2 linked regions of the Drosophila melanogaster genome follow. Changing the gene in region 2 together with the main gene of any one other region gives a genetic interaction. Each region holds a gene or a part of one and is shown on either strand. Other genes may lie near its edges.

Region 1 (7,223 bases), on a different chromosome or scaffold from region 2:
AACTTATGCGTCACTCCAAAGTTAAAAGCAAATAAATTGGTAAGCATGATAAGTTCACAACGACTCTTATTGATCGATTTCCAATATTTCAAAAAGCACAACGAATACACATGTTTTGTAAGAATTGAAAATAAAAATAGTTCCATTGCACATGTAAATGATGTCAAAATTGTCAAACAAAATAGAAAAACGTAACAAAACAAATTGATTTGGTTCGGAAAATAAAGATTACTATATTCAAAATAGGCAGCATTTAGGTGATATTTATTTGTATGCAATAATGGAATTTAAGGAATGGAAATTTAAGAAAGCTGAAAAAGTAAACATTAAATTGTTTGTCAACAAAATATGGTCAAAATCTCTTTAAATCCTAAAATATGTACAAATATTTTCGTATGGTAATTAGGACGTGACGATTTAAATAAATGCTTGCGAACAAAATATGGTTACAGCTCGGTAAATACATATTTACCAAATGTCCACAAATATTAACGTATGGTAATGTGACAATTTACGGACTTTCGTAAATTCCAAGTTTCTTTTGGAAAGCTGTAGATTTGCAGTTCTTATGCGGAGAACATTCCCCCAAAGTCGGAGTAAGAGAAAATGGCCGGAGAATTGATATTCAATATAGGAATTGGCATTTAAAAAACCCCCACATCCACACACACGCACATTCATGCACACACACACCCACATGCCCGCACGGCGCACACACGCGAGGGGTTTGCGCACACGTACGCATGCACATGCAAGCGTGTGTGTGTGTGTGTCCGAGTGCATAATTGAGAAATGAGTGTTCGGCGTGTCTTCAATTCGATTTTAATTCGGTGTAATTTGATCAAAGACTCACCTTCTTCGCACAAATTCGCGGAGAAGAGGCCCACAAAGAGGCACAAGATTAGGAATTTCGCCTGCCGATTCATTGTGGTCGTTAAACGCTGAGTACTCGAACGACAAAGTCAGCAAATCTGCAAGGCAAAGAAAATACGTTTGCGAAGTGGTTGGGGATTAACAGATACCGCTGGAGTCAGTATTGCACAACTGGCGATGTCGCCGAGCTCCGATTTCGCTCACCCACAAATTAAAGCAAGGCGCAATTAAGGAATGAATAACACGACACGAAGACCAGATTCTTTTATGCCAACTCGATACTTCGATGCATCCCGATACATCGACAGCTGAGCCGTGCTCTGCAGCCCTGGCACTCGGCGCTTATCAGTAGGGGGAGACCGTAATGTAGTTGAAACGCCTCGCATTTGGTGCAATATAAAATTATGATCATAAATTTGTCCTTATATTTTACTTGATTTATTACTATAAAATTGTATACCCACCTAGCAATTTATTTGAAATATTTGTAGGTTAAATCTATATAAACATAAGTAATTTTTCACAGCTAAATCTTTCTTGATAACGCAATAACTCATTAATTTAATTTGATCGACTTAAATGTACCATTTATATTATTTTATTTTAGTGAGTATATAGTAGTAGTACAGTATAAATATGAAGTTTTTATAATTATTTATCAAATTAGAGAGTGCCTCTGTTCCAAGTGTAGAATTCAGGTGTGTTGGGGGAATACCCCTAATAAAATTGCTGTATCATCATTATATCTTGTTGCTGCAGAGCGAAGAAGACGTCAGTGTCAGTTTAATTCCGTAATCCAAGAAACGGTAACACTTCACACTTGGTGATTCAGAATTAGTAGATATTTCTTGTCTGTTTATGGCCCCTGTGAAGACAGGACTCGAATTAGCGTAAAGGAACGACCAGGAGAGCACCAAGATGACCTCGTACGTGCGTGCCATGTACGACTTTACCGGGGAGCCGGGCTCCTCGGAGCTCTCCATCGCGACTGGCGACGTGCTCTCGGTGACCCGGAGCGATGTGGGTGAAGGCTGGTGGGAGGGCAAGAATGCCCGTGGCCAGATTGGCCTCTTCCCGGCTGCGTACGTGGAGGTGATGTCGGCGGCCGAAGCCCAGAAGCTGAGCGCCAGTGGAGCGACGTCGGTGCCACAGGTTCCGGATCCCTTCGCCTCGCCCCCTTTGCCGCGTTACGATCAGACGGCGGATGATGATGGCAGCAACTGGGATGATGAGGACGATTGGAGCGACGACAATGACACGTACTCGGAAATTGGTCCAGGTGGCCAGAAGTCTGCGGGACAGTCGGCTCGCGCTGGCGGATTGTCGCATTCCACCAGTGACTACGATAACAAACACCTGCCCATCGCGCCCAACGATGATACCCAATCACTGGCCTCCGTGGCTGGTGGGACTGGTGCTGCTGGCACCGTCAAAAAGGGCATGTTCGCCAAAAGTTCCGATTCATATATACTCGGCTTGTCCAGCACCAAGGAGAAGATACCCGAATGCGAGATGGCCTACATTACACAGGTGGAGGACTCGATCTACCAGTGGACGCAGAACCATTCGCCCTACTCCGTTGTGGTGGCCAGTCCCAAAAAGGAGTCCAAATTCAAGGGGATGAAGACGTTCATTGCCTACCAACTGACGCCTAGCTTCAACAACATATCCGTAAGTTGGCCAACCCTGATATCGCCGTGATTAACAACACAATACGATAAAGCTCCGACCGTTGGCGCATGAGTGTGTAACTACGGGTGCAATATTTTGTTGATAATATGTGTCTGTGCTGTGTTCGCTACCCTCTGCCAAGGGTAATTTGGGCTGGTTCATGTGCTCACGAGCAGATGGAATGGAATAAAGAAAGACCAATCCTTTGTTTATCGAAACTCCGCACTAATTGCCGGCCAACATTTTCCAACTGAGTTGACCTTAAAAGTGACCCTTTTTTGCTGAGAAAATTTAAATGGAGATCATATCCATTTCTTTAATTGGTTTGTTTTATTAAGACTCTGAAAATTGGCTAAATTTATCTTTTTATTTGTTAAAGTTTTAATACTATTCAAAGCTATAGTTCATTTCTTATTAGCTACTTAAATAGTATTTTGATAATTTCGATCAACTTTATTCATTACAATAATGAGAAGCATAAATGCTCGACATTACTTTCGAACTGAAATCAAAGCTCTTTGTAAAGTTCTTTCAGTCCATTAAAATACACATACAAATAGGTAGAGCATTACAGAGTCGTAAAAGCACTTAAAATTCTTCTTTGTGGGGGCAATTCTGACCAACTGGTAGCCAGCGGCACTGCGATGATTGCTTGTGCTTGCGAACCGCCACGGGGAATGACTCAGCAACGAGCTCTGACCCCCCGAGCTCCGGGCTCCTCTTTGCGTGACCCAATCACAATTAATTGGTCATATCTAATCTGGGTTTCCCTTTCGTTAGGTGTCACGTCGCTACAAGCACTTCGACTGGCTGCACGAACGTTTGGTGGACAAGTTTTGCCTGATTCCGGTGCCACCGCTGCCGGACAAGCAGATCTCCGGCCGCTATGAGGAGCAATTCGTGGAGCATCGACGTGTGCAGCTGCAGGAGTTCGTCGACTGGGTGTGCCGCCATCCGGTGATCTCCAAATGCGAGGTCTGGTACCATTTCCTCACTTGCCGCGACGAGAAGATCTGGAAGTCGGGCAAACGCAAGGCGGAACGGGATCCCTACATGGGCGTCAACTACTGCCTGGCCATCTCGCCGCCGGACAAGAACCTGCTGCACTCTAAGGTGGACGCACAGGTGGAGCTGGGCACCCAGTTCATACACAGCATGGACGTGGCAGTACGCAACCTGAACAATATATCCAACGACATGGCCAAGCGCTCCATGTCGCAGAGTAAAAAGGAGTTCCAGCGCATTGGCGACGGACTCTCCGACCTGGCCAAGGCATTGGCCATCGATGAGCGGCGTGCGCCCACCCGAAACGCGGTTCCGCTCTCCGAGAGCGTCGGCCGCATCGGTGGCATCTTTATCGGTATTGGACAGGCCTTTGGCGACCAGCCAAAGCATGATTGGATTCCCCTCTCGGATCGACTTCACATCTACAGGTGGGTTGACGTCTCTATAAGTGATGGGAAGCATAGCACATTTCGTTTCATTCATCAGTAATTGATTAGCTGACTGAAAATGGGAATTCCACGACATGTGTCATTTCTATACTAGAAGTTACAATAGGCACATACATATATGGCTGAATTACTCACAATTAAAAATTTTCGATAGATTACTTTCTTGTAAATTGTTTTTAAGGTATCAAGTTTATTTATAAAGAACTCAAATTGTTTACTTTTAAGCAATGAATCAATGTATAGTTTCGCGAGAAAAATCGATTGTTGGCCAATAGTTTATTTTAGATTATTGTGGTTCTTACGCTGACTGACCTTTAGTTTAACAAGAAATATATACATAGATATACATATGTATAATATATATATAACTTCTAGAGAATGTGGTAACTTTCCGTCGCTATTTGTTTATAGAACGATCTAGAAGCATTATCTAATTCTTACTTTCACTTTTCCAAATAGGGGCGTTCTCAACTGCTTTCCGGACATCTTCTCCACGCACAAGGGTGCCATACAGAAGCGAAAGGACTGCGAGAAATTGGCCGGCGAGGGCAGGATGAATAATCCCCAGTTGCACGACGTTAACCGGCGCACAGATGTCGTCTCCTACACGGTGCTGGCCGAGCTGACCCACTTCAAGAGCGAGCGGGATACGCATTTGAAGCATACGCTTAAGAATTTCATTGCCGAACAGATTAAGTTTTACCAGGGCGTGGTGGCGCGCCTGCAGGAGGCCAGCCGTCAGATTGAGTAGATTGGCCCTTGGCCCATGGCGACGACGACTCATCGCTGAAGAGATCGACGGCTGGGAGCACAAAGAAACCGCACCGGGCACACACTTCCACACAGAGATACATAGCTGAAAACATTCGCACGCGCGCATTTCAAATGCCTTCGAAAGGAACTCTTACTTTAAGCGTGGTTCTAACTAAATGTTAAACAGAAAAAATATTACATAATGTTGTTTGTAAGTGAAAAGTTGCGTATTTATACAGAAATTAACTTTTATATGCCTATTATACACTGAACTTGAGATGCAAATATAACTATATTTATACAGAACCACTTGTGCAAGTGCATCATCTGCATCATAATCATCATATTTGGATGATCCAACCAAACCCGCTGAATTAAAAGTCTCGGTGGCGATTTGCTATTCTGTTGCCTTTATCAGCGAAATTCTCTAAAAGGGTTCTCTTTATTTTTCCATTTTCATGTTCATGCTTTTGCTTTGCCATTTTCGCGTTAATAAGTTTTGTGATTCTTGTGTTTGTTTGGTTTTTTTGTTTTTTTTTTTTGTATCTAGAACATAAGTGTTAGATTGCACATGTTAGGGATGATGATTTCATAAATAATCAGCGTAATAACTAGTAAAAACAAAAAGAAACACATTTCGGAATGGATACAAAATCGGTTGTTTGCCTTTTAGCGCTGCGCTTTGTTTTCGTTTGATTTTTGGCGAGGTCATAGGTGAAGGTGAAGGGTCCAAGGATTGTCCTGGCATTTTTGGAGGATAGTCGGATGTGGGTTTCCAGGGATGGGAATCGGGTTGTGGGGGGATCACTAAGTGTAATACATCTAGATAAAAACGCTATATACAGACACACGAGTTAATAATAATAATAATAATATAACGCAGCTTGAGATAATAATAATAATAATAGATTTTGGTTAACAATAATACAATAATTAGGTTTTTTTTTGCTTTTGCCTTCCGCTTTCGCGCTCTACATTATTTTTTGTTTACTTGTCGTGTTTTTTTTTTGTTTTTTCCTCTTTGTTTTCTTTTCATATTTTTTGTGTTTTTCTTTTTTGTTAACAAACTACCAATAACAAATTTTTACTAATTCAATTTAAGTTTTTTTTTATGTTTACTGCTCTCTGCTTGTGTTTACCACCTTGTTTGTTGTTTATAAATTATTGTTGTTTGCGTTCCGGTTACCTTGTTGTTGCTGTTCCTGTGTATTAAACTAAAGGAAAATCATGGTTTATCCTTTACCAATTCCTGGCGGTAAAACGGCCTATACGATGCCTCTAAATATATAGTTATTATTACACGCAAGTGTTACATATGCCTATATGTTTATGTTTATGCGCTAAAGTGTCTTGCGCTTCGGTTAGCTGAACCGTGAACCCACCGGACGACTCCTAGCCGTAGTCACCGCCGAAGCGTCCGTGCTTATTGCTACCGTTACTGCTCTGGACCGCTGCAGCCGCCGCCGCCGCTTGGGCAGCCTTCTCCGCCAGCAGCGCCGCCTTCTGTTGCATGTAGGGATTGAAGTGTTGCATGTACATGGAGGCAGCGGCTGCCGCCGCATAGTTGTTGGCATAATTGTTGCTCCTTTGGTTGCTGCTGCCGTTGTTGGCGCTCCATTGATGCTGCTGCTGCTGCTGCTGGAGCTGCTTCTGTTGCTGTTGCTGCTGTTGGTGTTGCTGTTGTTGGTGTTGCTGCTGCTGCTGATGTTGCTGCTGTTGATGTTGCTGCTGCTGTTGTTGTTGATGCTGCTGCTGCTGCTGCTGTTGGTGGTGATGTTGCTGGTGCTGTTGCCAGTAGCTCTGCTCCGCCATATAATTGCCGGCATCGCTATCCTTTTGATAAAGATATGAATTCAGCAGGGATTCGCGTGCGGCGGCAGCGGCCGCCATCTGATTGTTCTGGAACATATTCTCCATGGCCGCTGCCGTTGGATAACAAAATTTATTGCTACTATTGTTGCTGTGGTTTTGATTGTTGGCTGCTGGAAGTTGTGGTTGCTGTTGCTGCTGTTGCTTGGCCGAGGCGTGATAGTTGCTGTAGTCCTGCTGCTGATGCTGCTCCTCATAGCTGGCCGTCCTTGTTCCCGATCCAGGTGCTGGCTCCTTTTGAGCCCGGCTTGACTGTCATTCACCTGATGCCGTCACCGTGGTCCACTGCCATGGACTATTGTAGCCTTGTTTGGGATTGCTGAAAGGGAACGGATGTGGATTAATTTGAACAGATGGGAAAGATGATTAGGTTAGGAACATCACTCACCTTCCGAAGAGAGGATGCCACAGTGCCGAGTTGGCATCCATGCCGGCTGCTGCCGCCGCATCTGCAAGATTTTGCTGGTGCTGTTGCTGCTGCACGTCCTGGGCGAGCATATTGCCCCGCTTGCGCTGCTGCTGTGCGGCGGCGGCTGGGTGCATTTGCTGCTTGGCCTGCTCGAGGGGATTATAGGTGACGCAGGCTTTACTGGAGCGTAGTGT
Region 2 (8,051 bases):
TTTTCACAATTGCCCAGCCAGAAGCCACTATAAATAACGCAGACTTGCGATAATGTCAAGAAATTACGCATTAAAACATATGATATTTATGTACATTAAATGCACTTTCAATGATAAAAGCTGTTTAGTGGTAAATGTTTAAACTAAAAAGGGCGATTATCCAATGGCATGAAATAAACTCAACTTAAAACTTGAAATTCATGAGTACATATGCACCTAGCTACACAAATCCGAACTAATTATTGTAATTTTAATCTATGGCAAAGCTATAGCTAATAAGATTTTAATTTTATATAGTATAGTACTACGACTTTTATCGCAAAAGATTGATTCGCTTCTTGATACACAAATGCTATTCTTGGCTACGGTAAACGCCCCCAAGTCACCATATACATATATATACATATACTGTATATGTATCTCAAGCTACATCTGAGGAGTATCTTTGAGCACTGGCTGCCTAATTAGATACGTTATGCAAATGTGTAGATACTGTCGACACTGTCGTCGCATCGGTGACGATTCCAACCAAGTCCGTCTCCCTCGTTTGCGTTCTTTGGCACTCGGTGTATGTGTGGCCAACAGTTATCTACCCGTCTTATCAGCCGTATATGTACGTACACATACATATGTAAATCGTTGGTATATATGCACATACATATATGTATGTACAAGTGGGTATGGGTTGAAGCAATTCACGCTGATCTAACTGAACCAAAAATAACGAATGGAAAAGGGGAAAGAACGGATATATATTTAACTTTCAAAGACTCTCAGTGGATTTTTCAAATGATATGGCGGTTATATCGCATTTGATTTGATTTCTTTGAGTAATGAAATGAATAATAAAATGGTTTTGATTTGTATAAAGGAATACCCCGTTGCCTAGGGCAATATCGTCAGGAAAAACTGTTGCATAAATTTCAGCTCGAGCTGTTGCGAAATCAATTTCGATTTGATTTGCTGATTTTCGTCCGATCAACTGAAACGCCCAGCTGGTCCAGTTATGTATTCACGTTCACAAGAACCAGATTATAAGCACATACAAGAATATATCAATGTATAAATACACATATATATCAATGTTTATAAATTGAGCGCACTAAAAACGAATTTAAGTTAATCAACATTTAAATGGATAATAAAATCAGCGAATGCAGTCCACAAAAAGTTGATTTATTTCGCGCCTCCTAGTTTTTCTGCCGCCCCAAGTGCAATCAATTCAATGTAGAACAGCAATAACAGAAACCACAGCAGCATTACTAAATCTGCACACAATCTATATGCATTTTCAGCTGTGGATATATATATATATAGATCTCGACTGCATATGATTTTGAATATGCCAGCAGTGCTGAGTGCACTTTTCACACGAAAATAATTCATTGACGCATAAAAGTGGCCAAGATAATTGGCAACTTTTGGCAAGTCCAATTGATTTTTGGCTTTGGCAAAAGGCAAATGCGAATATTTCAGTTCCTAGAGTCACTCGAAAAATGTTGGCAATAAAAAGTTAGCTAACATAATTGTGAATGAAATTAGTTTATTTTCCGAAGACAAGGAAAATAAGCGATCGTCGCAGCAATTACAATAATCGTAAAAGCACATACTACGTAGATTAACTAAGTAAATAAGCCAGTGCGAATAACACTTGTGCCTCCAAGTGGCAGAGATTAATTTGGGTTTATTTAGTCAATTAATTAAAAGTGACTTGACAATTGTCCTTATCGATTCGCGAATTCCACAGTTTTTTTTTTGAAACCAATCAATCATTCATATGAAAATAAATTCCTCAAATGCAGATAAGTCCAGAGGGAAAATCGAGGAACAAATGCGTAAGTTTGAAAGTGGCACATTTTTCAAAAACCGCCTTCAAATCGCAGCATTTCGAGCACCAAAAATCATTCGGCAGGGTGCCAAAAACGAGTCGCAATCGCTAAAACTATCTGAACAAAAAACCTTATCGCCCCGACACGTAGATAACCGAACCGAAAAAAAAAAATAAAATAAAATAAAATATTATATATACGTATGTATGAGGGAGAGCGAGGGCGACAACAAAAAACCACACGAATCGAATTGAAACGAAAATCGGAGCATATGTTTTCCCTGGAAAAGAGCAAAATTTTTTGGGTTGGCCCATAGTAAGTGGACCAAACGAGTGGAAGATGTCTGGCAGTCCGAGTTTTTGATGTCTGGAGGAGAGTCTGGGCGCAGCAGATGCTTAAAGAACAGATTGTAAACGAATATGATCTTTTGATATGGTGCGCACTCCTCGGCCAGACGACAACGACAGCAACAACTAAAACACCAGCAGCGGCAACAAATAGGGGTGCAATTTTTCGATGTGTACGTAACGGTAGAATACACATTTAGTCGCTGCTCTTTTCTTTCCCAGCGCCTGGCCCTTTTTTCCTCGCGCTGAATGTAAAGAAGGGATCTCCGATCCGCTGATGATCCTCGGGATGCCTGCCTGTGTACACATGTGTTGTTCTATCTGTCGCAGAACAGTCCGAACTGCATGTGTGTGCGGAATATCTATGTGTGCGGAGTATCTGTGTGTGTGGCATATCTGTGCGAGTGTGTCGTCTTGTCTTGTCATGGGATCGATCTTGATCTCGGCCTGTCTGCAGCAGGTTGATACTTTTAGCATCGGTCCGGGCACAGAATCCGAGTTTAACGTGGCATGGGGCAACGAACCAGCCCGTCGAACATCCACTGAACTGTAATTGTCTGTGGGTATTTATGGAAAAGGATCTTGAACTGGTCTTTCATTTCGGACCAGACGCTCGAGGAGGGAAAGGGAGAGGAGCGGTTGGCGGTAGCTGGGCTCAATTATGATCCGACGATCGTCACACATCAAATTATCGATTATGGCAATAATTTCTTATCATTCCCTTGTGTATTTTGCTCGCAAATTGGTTTTTTTTAAATAGCCCAAGGGATATTAAACATGTCTTTAGAGTAGTTCAATGATCGTAACTCCTTAAATTATCGTTTTTTGGCTTTAAGACTGCGATAAGGACGTAAATCAAGTTTTATCATAGAAATAATAACAATTGATCTAAGCAAAATCTTATTGTAAAATTAATCATTTTAATGGTAACATTTTTATAAAATATGATATCGGTTAAGCCTTTAACTATCCTTTGATCTTTTTTGTATTAATAATTACTTTAATTTACATCCCAAATTGTAAGATCCTTTTAAAAACCCTTTCAGGTAACCCAAAGTGCAGAACAGGAAAGCCCCAATTATACATACTTTAAAACCGAAAGGTCAAAAGAGTAGCACTCCGGTATCAGTTTTATTGATACTTAATTGTCTAATGCGATCGCTGTGCTAGATTCTTGACCCTAACCAAAAACCGTTCACACATTCTCGATTACCAAACCCCTTGGATTGATGGCCCGAAACGCGATCGTGGGGCAGGCGAAGCTCATTTGCCGCACCGGAAGCTGTAAAAGGAACAGTAGTAATTTCGAGCGTGTTTCCCACAAGGGTTGTGGAAGTGCCCCACACACACACACTCACGCACACTGGCGGCTAACTAGCTTGGCTATGATGCCGAGTAGAAAACCAATTCAAATTCTGTTGGCCTGGCCAACAACGAGTTTATAGAGGCAGCAATCCTGAATCGAGGCGAGATCGCGAGATCGGCGGATCTACCGAGCGGTAGCCAAACCAGTTTTCTCCTAGATTCATTCAAGAAAACAGGCAACACCAACACAAAAAGGGTTTACATGCACTCAAAAGAAACTCTCTAAATTTCATATTTTTAAGATAAATATGATTTAAAAGTTATATTTCAAAACTATATATCAACAGCAATTAAGAGATATATGGTTTATTATTTGTTTTCAATTGTTTTGTCTTTTAATTTTCGCTGGATTTTTGTTTCGAGTGTAGGGAAAATAACAAAAACTAATACTTGAACTACTGTTTTTCAACACTTCACTTTTCTTACCGGTGCGGGGTAATAAAATAGCGCCCCTTCGTGAACAAGAAGGCGGGGGCTACTGGGCTCTTGATTTTTGGTTTGTGGGTTCTGGATTCTAAAGACCGTCTTTCGGTTGGCTTTTTATTAGGGTATCCAAATTAATTACAGCTTCAAATTAGGCGCACAATCTTGATGGACTCCGCAGCACCGATGACTATCTCTTGCTCGTTCTCTCTCTCTATCACGCTGTATAGATGTGTATGTTTTAACCCTCCGGTGGGATCAGCAGGTTGATTAGGGGGAGAGAGAGAGGGATTACGTGCCGGGCACAAAGACAAACGAAAAACCGAAAGGAACAACTCGAGAAGAAATCGGGGATCGGTTTAGCTCGGCTTATAAGACGCGAAAAGAAACAAACCGAAAAAAGGCCGACGGATCGCTGGCAAACACACACACGCGCGCGCACACTCACACTCAGGCACTCTCACGCGATGTTTGAGGAGATTTTTGTGGTTTTATGATGAATTTCGTATATAGAAATTGGTTTCCTGTGTTTCTGAACCGCGTTTTTTTTTCTGTTGCTGTTTGCCTTCCTTTTTTTGATGTATATTGCGCGCGCAGATCTTTAGATGTTTTGCTATTGCACTCATTCACTTACACACTGGGTTTTTGCTTGGCTTGCAAAGTGTTTTGCATTTGTTATTTATTTGTTATTTGATTCGTATAATTCATTCAAATCGAATTTACCGTAGCGCAAGTGCACGCTTCCCGAAAGAAAGACAAAAACAGACTGACCGACTGGCAACAGGCGGCAGCGACGCCGACGTTGGCGCAGACGCAGCGTTGACGCCAACGCCGACGCACCTTCTCTCTCCGTTTCTCTCTCTCTTTCTCTCCGCTGCTAAGATTAATATTTTTTTGTGTTGCTCTGGCAAGTGATAACAAAAATGGCAAATAATATGAAAATCGAGAGTTATATCAATCTGACTTATAAACATTATTCGCTATTTTACTTGATCGCTGGAATGAAAACGAAAAGGCGTGGGTGATCCTCAATCTCGCTATCTCTTTCGCACTCGCACTAGAGCGTGCATCATGAGCGCAAGAAAAAAATGGAAATCAGAATTACATATTTCGAGCAGCAAAAACAAAGTGTTTGCAGCGACAAAAAAATAGCAACAATTTATAAAAAAAATCTGCTTGCTCAGAACTCAGTGTAAGTGCGAATATGCGAGAGAGTGTGTGGGTGCGTGTATGTGTGTGTGTGTGTGTGTGCGGGCGATCGTTTTTGGCAAGCATTTAAACAGTGCCCAAAATCACTAGTATATTTAAAATATTTAGTATGCAAAGGGGGCGGAATAATAAAGACAAATATTTTAAAATTTGGCAGTCTCAGTCTTTCAATTGTGTACACTGATATAAAAATTTATTTATTTTGATTCTGGATTTTATACAAATCTATATTTTTGACAAATAAAGTAAATTGGTCAAAATATCAGTTCCAGCTTATTTAAAAGGAAAATTATACTAGTTTCTTTGTTATAATAATTAATAAAATATTTATTTAATATGAAATAATACCTATATGAAAATTTTGATGTGAGATTAAATTATCAACTTATTATTATCATTATTAAAGTTTGCACACAATGTGGGAAAGCTGCAGCTTGGGAAAATACTTTTGGACACCCCAAAAAAAGTTAAGCGCGATATTTTCCCACCGTGACCATGACAACCACTGTGCGTTCGAAAGGCTCTCTCTCTCTCTCTCTTTCGCGCAAATCAAAAACACAAACAGGTTTATGTGTGCGGAGAGTGTGTGCGACAGAGAGCGGCGATATGGAACTGAAACGACTGCAATGTTTTTATATTCCGGCAACGCATTTCGCATAAATTACAAATTACACAGCATAAGTGAATGCAAGTGCAGGGGCGGCAGTCAAATGGCCAGCTGCACCCAGAAAAAGGGCAATAAGATTCGGGATAACAAAACTTGATGGCGTTCCCGATTTTCCCGGCCAAGGGAGCGTATATGTACACATAAAAAAAAAAAACTTAACCAGCCTTGCATAACGAAACACGTGCAATAAAAATATGGCTGATTGTCAACCTCTGCTGCAACTTAATTGCTGCCGCAGAGGTAAAACTGAAAAACATAAAAGGGGGCGACAAGTGCAGCAAGCGAAAAAAAAGAACTCAAAGAGCGCATGCGCGCCGCTCTCCCACTCTCTCTCCCTCTCTCCACTGCGCTGGAATCTTACAACTCGTGTAGGTGAGCCGGATTTTTATGAATGAATGCGCCTGTGTGCGTGACTGCATGATGCCATTGCAGCGGAGAACTAGTAGAAAAAACTTCACATTTCAGCAGTTGGAAAACACATGGCCAACAGGCCAACTCAATTGGCCAGCAGCTGTCCTTAAATTGTCAGCAAATAGGGCATTTAATGCCCATTACAGGAAAATTATAGCTAAAATGGTCAAGCTGTGATGAAATAAACATAAATATTATATTTTATGATTTCATCAGATTTTAAGCATTATTTTTTTAATTTGTGTTAGGTGGAACTACAAAGCTAAGAATAATTGAGGATTTCTAGGTAAAACTTATATTCTTAAAACCATTTAATAATTTTCTTGTTTTCTTTTATTTGTAGTAACATTTTGAAATTGGCGCCAAACGTGTTACTTTACAGTGCTGTGCAACAGCTAAATGTCAGCATTCTCTGCAACGCGTTAGCACATTTCTGAGACGTTTGCAGATTTTTGGCGGCAACAAGTTATTTACATTTATTTATTTTATTTCTGCTAAACAGCACGGAAATGTCCGACTCCAGCAAAGGCAAAGTGCTGCAAAATACGGGTAAATTCGTCAGCGAGAATCGCACAGAAGGGTGAGTGGTCAAAGTTCGTGAATTTCACGCTGAACAAGATATTTTCCAATCTTATCCACAGCGACGACTTCTTCAATGAGGCGGGCTATCGTCAATCCCGGGAGAACGATAAAATCGACTCGAAATATGGCTTCGATCGGGTTAAGGACAGCCAGGAGCGGACGGGCTACCTCATCAACATGCATTCGGTAAGTTAGGAAGCCCATAAAACGTTGAAAATCATGTCCAATAATGGCTATGCCAATTGCAGAACGAAGTTTTGGATGAGGACAGAAGATTGATTGCTGCCTTGGACCTGTTCTTCATCCAAATGGATGGTTCCCGCTTCAAATGCACGGTGGCCTATCAGCCATATTTACTCATCCGACCAGAGGATAATATGCATCTGGAAGTGGCGCGATTTCTGGGTCGCAAGTATTCCGGCCAGATTTCTGGACTGGAGCACATAACCAAAGAAGATTTGGATCTGCCCAATCATCTATCCGGTTTGCAGCAGCAGTACATAAAACTTTCGTTTCTCAATCAGACAGCCATGACCAAGGTTAGAAGGGAACTCATGTCCGCGGTGAAGAGAAATCAGGAGCGACAGAAATCCAACACATACTACATGCAAATGCTGGCCACCTCGCTGGCCCAATCCTCCGCAGGTTCCGAGGATGCCACATTGGGTAAGAGGCAGCAGGATTACATGGATTGTATTGTGGACATAAGGGAGCATGATGTGCCTTACCACGTCAGAGTGTCCATCGATTTGCGCATCTTTTGTGGACAGTGGTACAATATCAGGTGCAGAAGTGGCGTGGAATTGCCTACGATCACCTGCCGACCGGATATTCTGGACAGACCCGAGCCCGTGGTCCTGGCCTTTGATATAGAAACCACTAAGCTGCCCCTTAAGTTTCCCGATGCCCAGACGGATCAGGTTATGATGATCTCGTACATGATCGATGGTCAGGGTTATCTGATAACCAATCGTGAGATTATATCATCCAATGTGGACGATTTTGAGTACACTCCCAAGCCGGAATTCGAGGGTAACTTTATAGTATTCAACGAAGAGAACGAGATGCAGCTGCTCCAGCGCTTCTTCGATCACATCATGGAGGTGCGTCCCCACATCATTGTTACATACAACGGCGACTTCTTCGATTGGCCCTTCGTGGAGACGCGTGCTGCAGTGTACGATCTGGACATGAAGCAAGAGATTGGCTTCTCCAAGC

The links. A genetic interaction does not mean that the proteins touch.
Region 1: of pnt (region 2) and SH3PX1, changing one suppresses a phenotype caused by changing the other (phenotypic suppression), as found in Drosophila melanogaster (one study listed by BioGRID).

What each region holds. Positions count from the first base shown.
Region 1 is NT_037436.4:9,708,254-9,715,476, reverse strand, and holds SH3PX1 (SH3 and PX domain containing 1), read left to right. Parts: upstream 1-1,649; 5' UTR 1,650-1,791; coding exon 1,792-2,544; intron 2,545-3,324; coding exon 3,325-3,977; intron 3,978-4,457; coding exon 4,458-4,749; 3' UTR 4,750-5,055; downstream 5,056-7,223. Other genes in the region: vsg (visgun), read right to left, coding at 854-926; CG16711 (uncharacterized protein), read right to left, coding at 6,876-6,939, 7,009-7,223.
Region 2 is NT_033777.3:23,341,431-23,349,481, forward strand, and holds the start of pnt (pointed), read right to left. Parts: upstream 4,738-8,051; 5' UTR 3,968-4,737; intron 1-3,967. Other genes in the region: PolE1 (DNA polymerase epsilon subunit 1), read left to right, coding at 6,761-6,831, 6,893-7,019, 7,082-8,051.